Drosophila melanogaster: one gene and its partner. The protein of the gene in region 1 interacts with the protein of each later gene in a pairwise test. Each region holds a gene or a part of one and is shown in the gene's direction. Other genes may lie near its edges. The genes, in order: Chc and BicD.

Evidence for each region.
Region 2: the proteins of Chc (region 1) and BicD interact in binary tests that used the Drosophila melanogaster proteins (3 or more experiments, as listed by UniProt).

What each region holds. Positions count from the first base shown.
Region 1 is NC_004354.4:15,832,357-15,837,556, reverse strand, and holds the start of Chc (clathrin heavy chain), read left to right. Parts: upstream 1-2,066; 5' UTR 2,067-2,270; exon of another isoform or gene 2,271-2,329; intron 2,330-2,644; exon of another isoform or gene 2,645-2,736; intron 2,737-2,802; exon of another isoform or gene 2,803-2,925; intron 2,926-3,185; 5' UTR 3,186-3,392; coding exon 3,393-3,434; intron 3,435-3,857; coding exon 3,858-4,065; intron 4,066-4,303; coding exon 4,304-5,200. UniProt on the Drosophila melanogaster protein: Clathrin is the major protein of the polyhedral coat of coated pits and vesicles.
Region 2 is NT_033779.5:17,470,103-17,475,319, reverse strand, and holds the start of BicD (bicaudal D), read left to right. Parts: upstream 1-2,104; 5' UTR 2,105-2,995; coding exon 2,996-3,223; intron 3,224-3,467; exon of another isoform or gene 3,468-3,717; intron 3,718-5,217. Other genes in the region: Sgt (small glutamine-rich tetratricopeptide containing protein), read right to left, coding at 737-1,732. UniProt on the Drosophila melanogaster protein: This protein is essential for differentiation. It may play a role in localizing of Nanos (a maternal determinant) activity in oocytes. Functions redundantly with BicDR.

The sequences.
Region 1 (5,200 bases):
TCGGCTGGGATCATTTATCACGCCATGCAGCGGATGTAGCAGGATATGCCGCACGATATGATGCTGCATAAAGTGTCCTCTGATCGGTGATCGTTACACAAACCGCATCCTGCGCAGTTACTTTTTATGGGACAAAACCCCATTGTGTGGATGCTACCAAATGTCCTGGAAATCGTAACGAATCCACGCATTCCGACCAAGGTATCCCCGCAGCTGTCCGGCGGAATCGTGTGATCCTGTCGCCCTGCCATCGCCGGCACCACAAAGTTCGCGCCCATGTCGCGGCCGCTGTAATCCTTCGATTACATCGTTACCTCACGGCGATAATCTTGGCGGGGCTGTATTATGGCGTTAGAGTGGGCGTGGCAACATGGATCTCAACTTGGGACTCTCAACCTTCTAGCTTTTATAGTTCTCGACGTTCATACGGACAGACGGACATGACCAGATCGACTCGGCTATTTCTCCTGATCAAGAATATATATATATATATAGATTATATGGTCGGAAACGCTTCCTTCTGCCAGTTTCAACGAATCTTACCCTTACGAGTAACGGGTATAAAAAATTGGAACTTGCATTATTATTGGCTCCCACAGAGAAGGGTATATTATTTGAATGACAACAACGTTTCAATGTAAATATATATTAAAATAATCTAGGTAAACATGAAAACGAAGAAAAATAAAAACAGAATTTAGTGGTATCTTTATGTTATCAAAATGAATATGATTGACAAAGCTCAGAGTCCGCAGCATTCTGCCATTTATCCTGGGCTTCCTAGATCCCAAAACCGAGTCGTAAGAACGTCTGTATATACTGTAGAAGAAACTTATATTAATAAAAGAATTTCCCTGGGAAACGAGGAGTTTATCAGTTTACCTTATTCTGTTAGCGACGGATCCTCTCCCAATGGCCCTGGGTTGAGGAATCCTGGGCGGGTGGGACGCCTAGCAGGAATGCGGCAGACTGCGAACGGCCAAAGCATCGAGCACTGGTCAAATTCGGACAATCCAGCTGGGTTTTTTACCACTGCAATAATGAAAAACTTTCAGAAGTCCTCAAGGGATTGCTCATGGTAGAGAGTGACATCGCTTTTGCTTTTAATAAAAGAATTTCCAAATTTTTGTGCCTGCAGGACAAAAATGATTATGTGTACCTTTTCGACAACTTGCTGAGGTGCTGGACCCTTCGCCCGTTCGAAGACTACCGCAAATCTGCGAGCGGGACGCCCGCAATATTCGTCTAGCTCCTTGCCCCATCCTTTGTCATGCCCTTGATCAGTCAAGTCAAGACGGTATAGATTCTATCGCCAAAAGGTGCTTCAAAATCGGATACTGCTGCTTACCTCATAGATTAAGATTTTATTGTTGGGACTCGGTTTTCCAAATGATAAAAACAATAAAAAAAATGTTTGGAGCAAATCCTAAAGTTGTTGTTTCTGTAGCACATTGAGTGTAAATGTCAAAAATAGTATTGAAAAAGAACAAAGTTAAAATCATCGCCTACTTAAAAATAGTATTGCATAGGAACAATGTTAAAATTATCGCCTACTTATTATCCAGCACTTAAGCAAGATAATTAATGTATATATATTTTTAAAAATTAACGAAAGAGAATGCTTTAGTCCCGTTCTCCGACTATCAGATACCCGTTACGCAGATAGTGTGAGTGCAAACGTGAAATTTAATAATTTTTTCTGGGGTGTGTTCTGTTACTCTACGAGTAACGGGTATAATAACTTCACATTCCAAATTAAATTGCTATAAAAAATAGATTTCCAATTAGAGAATATATCCAATTGGATCACTCGATAACACCTGTTAACCTTACGTATGTATTATGATCTAAAAACTTGTTATCGGCAAAATATAAATGAAGCTGATAAAATAAAATAAATTTGTTGTTCCTTACAAAGTTATACTACATTTACCTAAATAATAATTACATTCGAATATTATGAATAAATACGTGTAACAGTAGGATCGTGCGATACAAATATCGATTCGAATGTTGAATGTGGTATCGATGTTTTTTCACTCCACGCAATTGCATATTTGCCGTATATATCGGCATTAATTGTATAACTTTCACACCTCTACCTTGTCTTGCAGTCAGTATTTAGTCAAACAAAAGAAAAATAAACTACATTTGTTAGAGCTTGATAAGAGCTCAGTTTGTCTTCAGTGTGTGTGCCCGTCATCTAGCAACAAACCGACGTGATTATTTCGAGTATGATAGTACTTAGCGTACATTTTTGTTAAATTGCAGTAAGCATACGGGCTCCAAATATCTTTCGATTCATTGGGAAAAAATGTAAAGTGCTAAAGTGCGTGTGTGTGTTCGCTTGCAAATGCAATATATACATACAAATTTTGTTTATTTGATGTAAAAGCATCCGATTAATTTACCGTTTATCTAATTATGTTCTTGTTTATGTGGCATATTGCGGCACTGCAAGTGTGCGCGCTCATCTGTGAGTGTGTGTGCGCGAGTGCTGCTGTGTGCGTGTGAATTGGGAATTACCGCTACTCAATTTGATGTATATACACCGAATTTCGTCAATTTCATGGCATTGTCCCATTGTTATCAGGCGCAAAACAGTGATATTTAAATGCGATTTTCGATTTTCATGCACACACAGGGGGAGGGAAAACAAGAGCAAAATTGCTGTACATGTATTAGTCAGTGACTAATTGTTCAAAGCGCAACTCAACATGGCTGACTTTTTCTGTGGTGAGCAGCGATTTTTGATGATAATGCTGCCTCTTTTCTTTTCAAATTCTCTCTCTTGATTCGCTCTCACTCTCTCTCTCTCTCCCTCGCTCACCTCAAATAAAATAAAGTGCTGGTAATTTTCCCGTCGTAACGGCAAGTGCAAAAACGCAAGAAAACGAATAAAAATACCGATACAAAGGATTAATCGTAGGAAATAATTTCGTCTATATATTTTCTTGCACAAAAGCGATTGGGGATACAATAAGAGACTCGGTGTTTTATTTTAAGGGCGTTTACATCCATATGTACATACATATAGGCCTTTATCTTTCATTTTTTCATCCGGTGACGCTGTCACTTTCTATCAACAATAAAATAACGCCCACAATTTGATTTTTCCTCATTCTTGCCGCATCAGTGCTGTCCATAACTACATGTTTTTCCAAAATCTTTTGTCTTTCGTGCAGCTAAACGTTCCAATGGAAACCGAATCTTAAACCAGAAACCGACTAAACTCGAACGCAATTAAACAACAATAAATCCTCGAAACAAATCAAATACAAACTGTTACCAAGTGTGCAATTCAAGAAAACATCGTATTGGCATTGTTTTCGCAAAGATACATTTACGTTGTAAAGGTCTGTCAATAACTAGACCTCACTGTAGTAGTAAAGATGACGCAACCACTGCCCATCCGCTTTCAGGAGCATTTACAGGTGAGTAATATTAAATATTTTGGATCTACCATCATTACATATCCACATACGTACAACCCACCAATATGCCACGATTACCTACGATTATATCCGATTCATAAGCTCCCCACTTTTCTTATGAAAATTTCACGGTTTCCAGCTCTAATTCAACGTGTAAACAGAAAATATGGGGGCTTAGGTCGAGTTTCTACTTTGCTATACCTTCTATTCAAGTCTGTATACAGTGTATTTTCTATAGAACTAGTTATAATACAAATTTACATCTAAACTTAAGCAAAGTATTGCGAATATTTAATAGTAAATGTGGGTCAATCCAGGCCAGTTCAATAATTAATAATGAATGATTATATTGTGTAATGAGTGCGTATGCTATGATTTTCGATTTATCAATTAACACACATTTTCAATCTCCACTACGGACAGCTCACAAATGTCGGGATCAACGCCAATTCATTTTCATTCAGCACGCTCACGATGGAATCGGATAAGTTTATTTGCGTGCGGGAGAAGGTGAATGATACCGCCCAAGTGGTCATCATTGACATGAACGATGCCACCAATCCCACGCGGCGTCCCATCTCAGCGGATTCGGCTATCATGAATCCAGCTAGCAAGGTCATTGCGCTCAAAGGTAACTGAAACCGATGGTCCAGTCGATCAGAATGTCCGAAGAGGATCAGATTTTAGCTTAAAGTAACGTAGGCTTAGTAAACAGGTCCGCTTGTTATTACAACGTGTCTAGAAAACTTAAAACCTCACTTAAACTTTAACTTGAATATCAAATAGTAAGGAAAGAGATCAAAGTTTTTTTCCGGTCGACTGGGATAATGCATTTTTGAACATGTATAACTTTAGAATATTTCTTTTAGCGCAAAAGACGTTGCAGATCTTCAACATTGAGATGAAGTCGAAGATGAAGGCGCATACCATGAACGAGGATGTGGTGTTCTGGAAGTGGATCTCCCTCAATACGCTAGCTCTGGTCACAGAAACGAGTGTGTTCCATTGGTCCATGGAGGGCGATTCGATGCCGCAAAAGATGTTTGACCGGCATTCATCGCTGAACGGTTGTCAAATCATCAACTACCGCTGCAATGCCTCCCAGCAGTGGCTACTCTTGGTCGGCATTTCGGCACTGCCAAGTCGCGTTGCCGGTGCCATGCAGTTGTATTCGGTGGAGCGTAAGGTGTCCCAGGCGATCGAGGGGCATGCGGCCAGTTTTGCCACGTTTAAAATCGATGCCAACAAGGAGCCGACCACGCTGTTCTGCTTTGCAGTTCGTACGGCCACTGGGGGCAAGCTTCATATTATCGAAGTTGGTGCTCCGCCGAACGGCAATCAGCCGTTTGCCAAGAAGGCTGTCGATGTCTTCTTTCCGCCGGAAGCACAAAATGATTTCCCTGTGGCTATGCAAGTCTCTGCCAAGTACGACACCATCTACTTGATAACCAAGTATGGATACATACATCTGTATGACATGGAGACGGCCACGTGCATATACATGAATCGTATATCGGCCGATACGATCTTTGTTACCGCACCGCATGAGGCAAGTGGTGGCATCATTGGCGTCAATCGCAAGGGACAGGTCCTCTCCGTGACCGTCGACGAGGAGCAGATCATTCCCTACATCAACACCGTTCTGCAGAATCCCGATTTGGCCCTTCGCATGGCCGTGCGCAACAATTTGGCTGGTGCCGAAGATCTCTTTGTGCGAAAGTTCAACAAGCTCTTTACAGCCGGCCAGTATGCTGAAGCGGCTAAAG
Region 2 (5,217 bases), on another chromosome or scaffold:
TTTACATCCATTTTACTCATACACTCACGCATTGCTTTTATTATTTTCGTTATAACATTTGTTTTCGCTAAAGTACTTGTGCAATTTTCCAAAACACGCCACGCCTTCTTTTCATACATTTCCCAAAAGAAAGGCGCTGGCATTGTTTGAAATTTATATCACTCCTGTTTTTACCTTCAATTCTGTCAAACGCATAAATATAAGATTATACCAATAACCAAGTGAACGAATATCAATATAAAACCTACTTTCAAGTTGACCGCTTTGAAGATAATGATTTTCAAGCGACAAACTGTTTGCGACAGATCGGCATTTGTTTTAAACCCATTAGTTTTTATTTGACATGTAATATCAAATTAACAATTGTACCATTTAGAGATGCAAATCAGCAAAAAAAAAACCCCTAGCATACATTTCTTGAATTCAATAAAAGCAACATTAAATTACATGCACTGTGTGATATACTTGTTTAATTTTGTTAACGACGGGCAACTAGAAAAATATATGAGGCATTATAATATATATATTTAATATTCATTGAAAATTCGATTGGAACAGCGGCAATTTGCACGGTCATTTATTTATTTCCATTGGATAAAAATGTATATGTATGTATGTATGTATGCGTAATAGAAGCCATTTAAACATTATAAATACATTTATAGTTTCAGCTTAACAACTTAATCTGTGTGCCGCCGATCCAGGCAGGGATCGGGGATCGGGATTCTATCCACTTCTAGGTGCTCGGTGGTGGCTGATTGCCCGGCTGCTGTTCATTGCCAGGATTTGCGTTCGAATTGGGAAAGCCAGTCAATTGGCTGGTCATGTTATAGATCATTTGCACCATGTCATTGGGCAGGGTCGGGGCATTGCCGCCGCCGAACTGCTGGCGAATGGTGTTCATGATCATTGGATTCTGAAGCATCGACAGCAGCTGCTCCACGTCGATCTCGGCGTTGTTGAACAAATTCCTAACCATTGGCTGGGACAGCATGTTGATTAGGTCTTCCCTTAATCGCCCCGTTTGGGGCGGCTGGTTCCTGGCGTTTCTGGCCGCTTCCAGGTTGCTCTTGTACACCTCGTTGTCCGGTTCCAGCTCGATGGCCTTGGCGTAGGCCTGTTCCGCCTTCTCGAAATTGCCCATGTTGGAGTACGCCACGCCCAGGCGGCAGTACGCCTTGCTGTAGTTGTTGTTGTACACCAGGGCGGACTTGCAATCGGTTACGGCGCGTTCGTTCTCACCCAGCCGGATGTGGGCCGCAGCCCGATTGCAGTAGAAGATCGGATTCTTGGGATCGAAGGCGATGGCACGATTGTACTGCAGCAGTGCTTCATTGTACTTGTTCTCCTTCATCAGCCGGTTGCCCTCGTTCTTGATGGATTCGGCCAGGGCCAGGGATTCCGGATTGCGTTCTGTATACAGCGACTGGAAGAGCTCGAACATGTCAATGTTATTGGGAACGGCGGCGGCGGCGGCGCCGATACCAGCACTTCCGCTGGCCACCGCATCATCGTCCGGTGCGCTCGCAGTGCTGCTGCTCTGTGTGGTGGCCTGCTCCTCACCAGCCGCAGCCGGCGCTGCCTCCACATCATCGCCCAAGTCAAAGGCCGCCTGCAGGCACTGGATCGCCACCTCGATGCTTTCGGTCTGGTCCGGCGACATCACGTCCCCCTGCTTCTTCAGGTAGTCAATGAAGCTACGCACGAAACTCTGCTGCACTGCGTCCGGCATTTTGGTTATGCTTTAGATTTCTGTTCGCTTAATTTCGATCGACAGACAAGTTGAAAAGTAAATGTGATTAGGCGAAATGTGAATATAAAATCGAGTATCGATGTGCTACATGGCCCGATAACTTTTGAGACATATATCGAACATTCTGATAGTATGGGAAATGCTGACGCTGTTTACAAACTTTGGTTTCAGCTTAAATTATATTTATATTATATATTTTTATATAAAAATAAATCTGTTGCTTCAAGCATTTTAAATAAAATCATACCCTTAGTAGTGGAAACGCGATTATTATTACCAACGCGAGGTTTGGGTCCGAGCTAAGCGCATTCTTAACGCTTTTCTCCACACCTCTCCGCATTATCGAAAGTTTTGCCTGCGGTCGCACTGAAATTCCGTCACAAACATTGCCAAGAATCGACGTGATTGCGGACAAAATTTTGTTTTTGCACTTGCTTGAAAATTTCGACTCCATCGACGACCGCAGCGATTGGGCCTGATATATACCGCATTTAGCCGTCTACGCCGCAATTGTGCAACGGATAACGAGAATACGCGAAGAGCAGTCGTGCGAACGGGGAAAGTGCAGGGAAAATGGGAAAAACTCCCACTTTGCCAGCGAACGAAAGGAAAGGGGAAATTGTGTGATGTCATTTCGGCTGTTTCTTTTCGAGTTAATTGAAACAACTTCCTGCGCTGCGTTTTCAGTTTCTGCTGCCAACTGTTTTATACGCGCCTATGTGTGCGTACGGCAGTGCGCTGGTGTGTGTGTGTGACTTACAGGCATATATAAATATAGTGCAGAATTATTTGCCGTTAAAAGCCCACGGTTAATTGGCCATTAAGCGCTGTTTAATTTACTAATTTAGCGCGGTGAGTGAAGAGAGGAGAAAACCCGCAGCGATACCATTCCACACACACACACACACGTTCGCATTCAAACGGAAAAGAGAAAAGGTGAAACGCACGCACACACACGCAAAAAGCACACCGCGAGTGGAGTTGTGTGAGTGTGGGGTTTCGATAAAAAAAATTATTTTAAAAAAAGCACTGAAGTACAACAAAACAGTGCGGCATATACAAATCGACTTCTATCGATTTCCCTCCAAAACATAAAATTGTATCGAAAAGATTCCGCCCAGGATAGAAGCATCAACAGCAACAACGAGGAGATTCACCTGCCCACGGGCAGCTGTACCGTCCACCAACACCCACACCATCACCCCCTCCCCCGACCACTAAGGACACCATCCATCCATCATCATGTCCAGCGCCAGCAACAACGGCCCATCGGCGGACCAATCCGTGCAAGACCTGCAAATGGAGGTGGAGCGCCTCACGCGCGAACTGGACCAGGTGTCCTCCGCCAGCGCCCAGTCCGCCCAGTACGGACTGTCCCTGCTGGAGGAGAAGTCCGCCCTGCAGCAGAAGTGCGAGGAACTGGAGACGCTCTACGACAACACGCGCCACGAACTGGACATCACACAGGAGGTAAGTTTGCCTACAATTCTTCGCAGTTTTTAAATGCTCCAATGGGTTATATAGTAACCCGCCAATTTGGCCCCCTCTGTTGCTATGTTTTTCGATCTGTTTCCAAGCAGTCGCCGCTTATCGCCCAGCTGGCCCACTCGCGTACTCACACACACCTTGGGGCACACACACCTACATATTTAGACAGAGAAAACCTTTCCACAACGGCCAACAATTTGTCTTGCTGGCAAACTAACTCGCTCACCTGTTGGCCAGTTTGACTCTCTTTCGGCGAGTCTACCTATCGCTCTGCAAAGTCCGTCTGGTCTGGTCTAGCAGAAATAATTGGGATTCGCTCTCTGATCATGAAATCGGAAACTGGCTTGGCCATATGGTCACGTGCTGTTGTTTTGTATACCTTTAAATACAGTGGAACCGCTTGGGTCGATTGAAGATACTATTCAGTCCGCTAAACAAAACAATAAATAAACTAAAAAATGAAAAACACAACTTAACAGCTGAAAGAAAGCCTTTACGACCGCAAAAAGTATTTATGTATGTTTATCATAGATCATAATCGCTAGCCAAGTGTCCTTCTGTCCGTCAGTATAAAGGCCAAAAAAAGCCATGCGATGCCATTATTCTAGTGATCCTAGATGATATGTGTTGTTCAAATCATAAAGCGATCTTTAAAGTTAACACTATAGCATTCTCATTTGATTTGATTGAAAACACTTAAACATTTAAAATGCATTTGGCTGGCAGAATTATTTCATTGTTTCAAAATTATGTTTTCTTTGTTTTTTTATCTTTATCTTGTCTCCACTGATCACGCTCAATTTGGCATAAACATTGTTTTGGCCTATAAAAATTATCTCAGCTTTCAGTTGGCCGATTGCAGCACGGCCAATCTACTCTTGCCATTTCATTTTGCACCTTTATTCAGTGCCCAACTACCTCCACTTCCACATCCAACTCCTCCTTTTCTTCTTACCACCAACCTTCCTTTCCAATTAGTCCTCGTCATCGCCTGGCATTTCCTCTGGAATTTTCACAGGCCGTGGATTGTCGGGCTCTGAACTGCATTACCAGACGGCAGGGAAAAGTTGTGTCCTTTCCTCGGTAAAAATCAAATGGGGGAAGCAGTCTATACTCATTCAGCCGTCTATTATCATTTCGTGCTTTGGCTTTTTCCGACTGGTGTCCCAACAAGCTTCCTTTTTGGTTTGTTTTGCTTGTTGCCAAAAGAAAACGTTGGTTTAGGCCGATTTTGTTGGAGAAGGGTAAATAAAGCATACAGTAAATACAACTGGTTAAATAAAGATCAGAACAATTATACACATGTTTACTGTATTACGCAAATTAACAAAATCATTTGTTATTTTTAGATTTGATTTTGGTGTAAACATATAGTTCATATTCTTTAAGTATCCCCAATTAGCAAACAGTGCAATTAAAGTTCCATTAACCATGGGGCTAACAAAAGTTAGCTGGAATTAAAATCCTACGGGGGCGTTAACACCTGCACACACGCACACACACAATGCAGGCGGTAACACCTTTTTTACAAATGGGCATATGTATGTGCGTAATACGTATATGCGCATGCATTTTTATGCGCTTCGAACAAAAAGCCTGCCAATTAATTGTTGGACAGGTGGCAGTGCACTTGTAACGTAGCTTGATAGTTTCCAGCTTGTTGGATTTGAACTCAACTGAACTTTTACGAGAACACAAATAAAAAAATGAGTGCGAGGCCAAAAGAACCCTCCACCCACACACACACATTTATAATGGATGCTTAAAAATTACAAAAAAAATAATAGCAACGTCGACGACCACGTCACTGCGGGCATTTTCTGTGTCCCCACAAAAGTGTAAAAAAAGGGGTGAGGTTTAAAGGAAGCTATGTGGAGACTGGGCGACATATTTCCACTTGCAATCAAGATATCTGCCTCGGGCGACCCCAGCATAAAGTGACATAAATCAGCGGGCAGACGGCAGCGAAGGAGGGC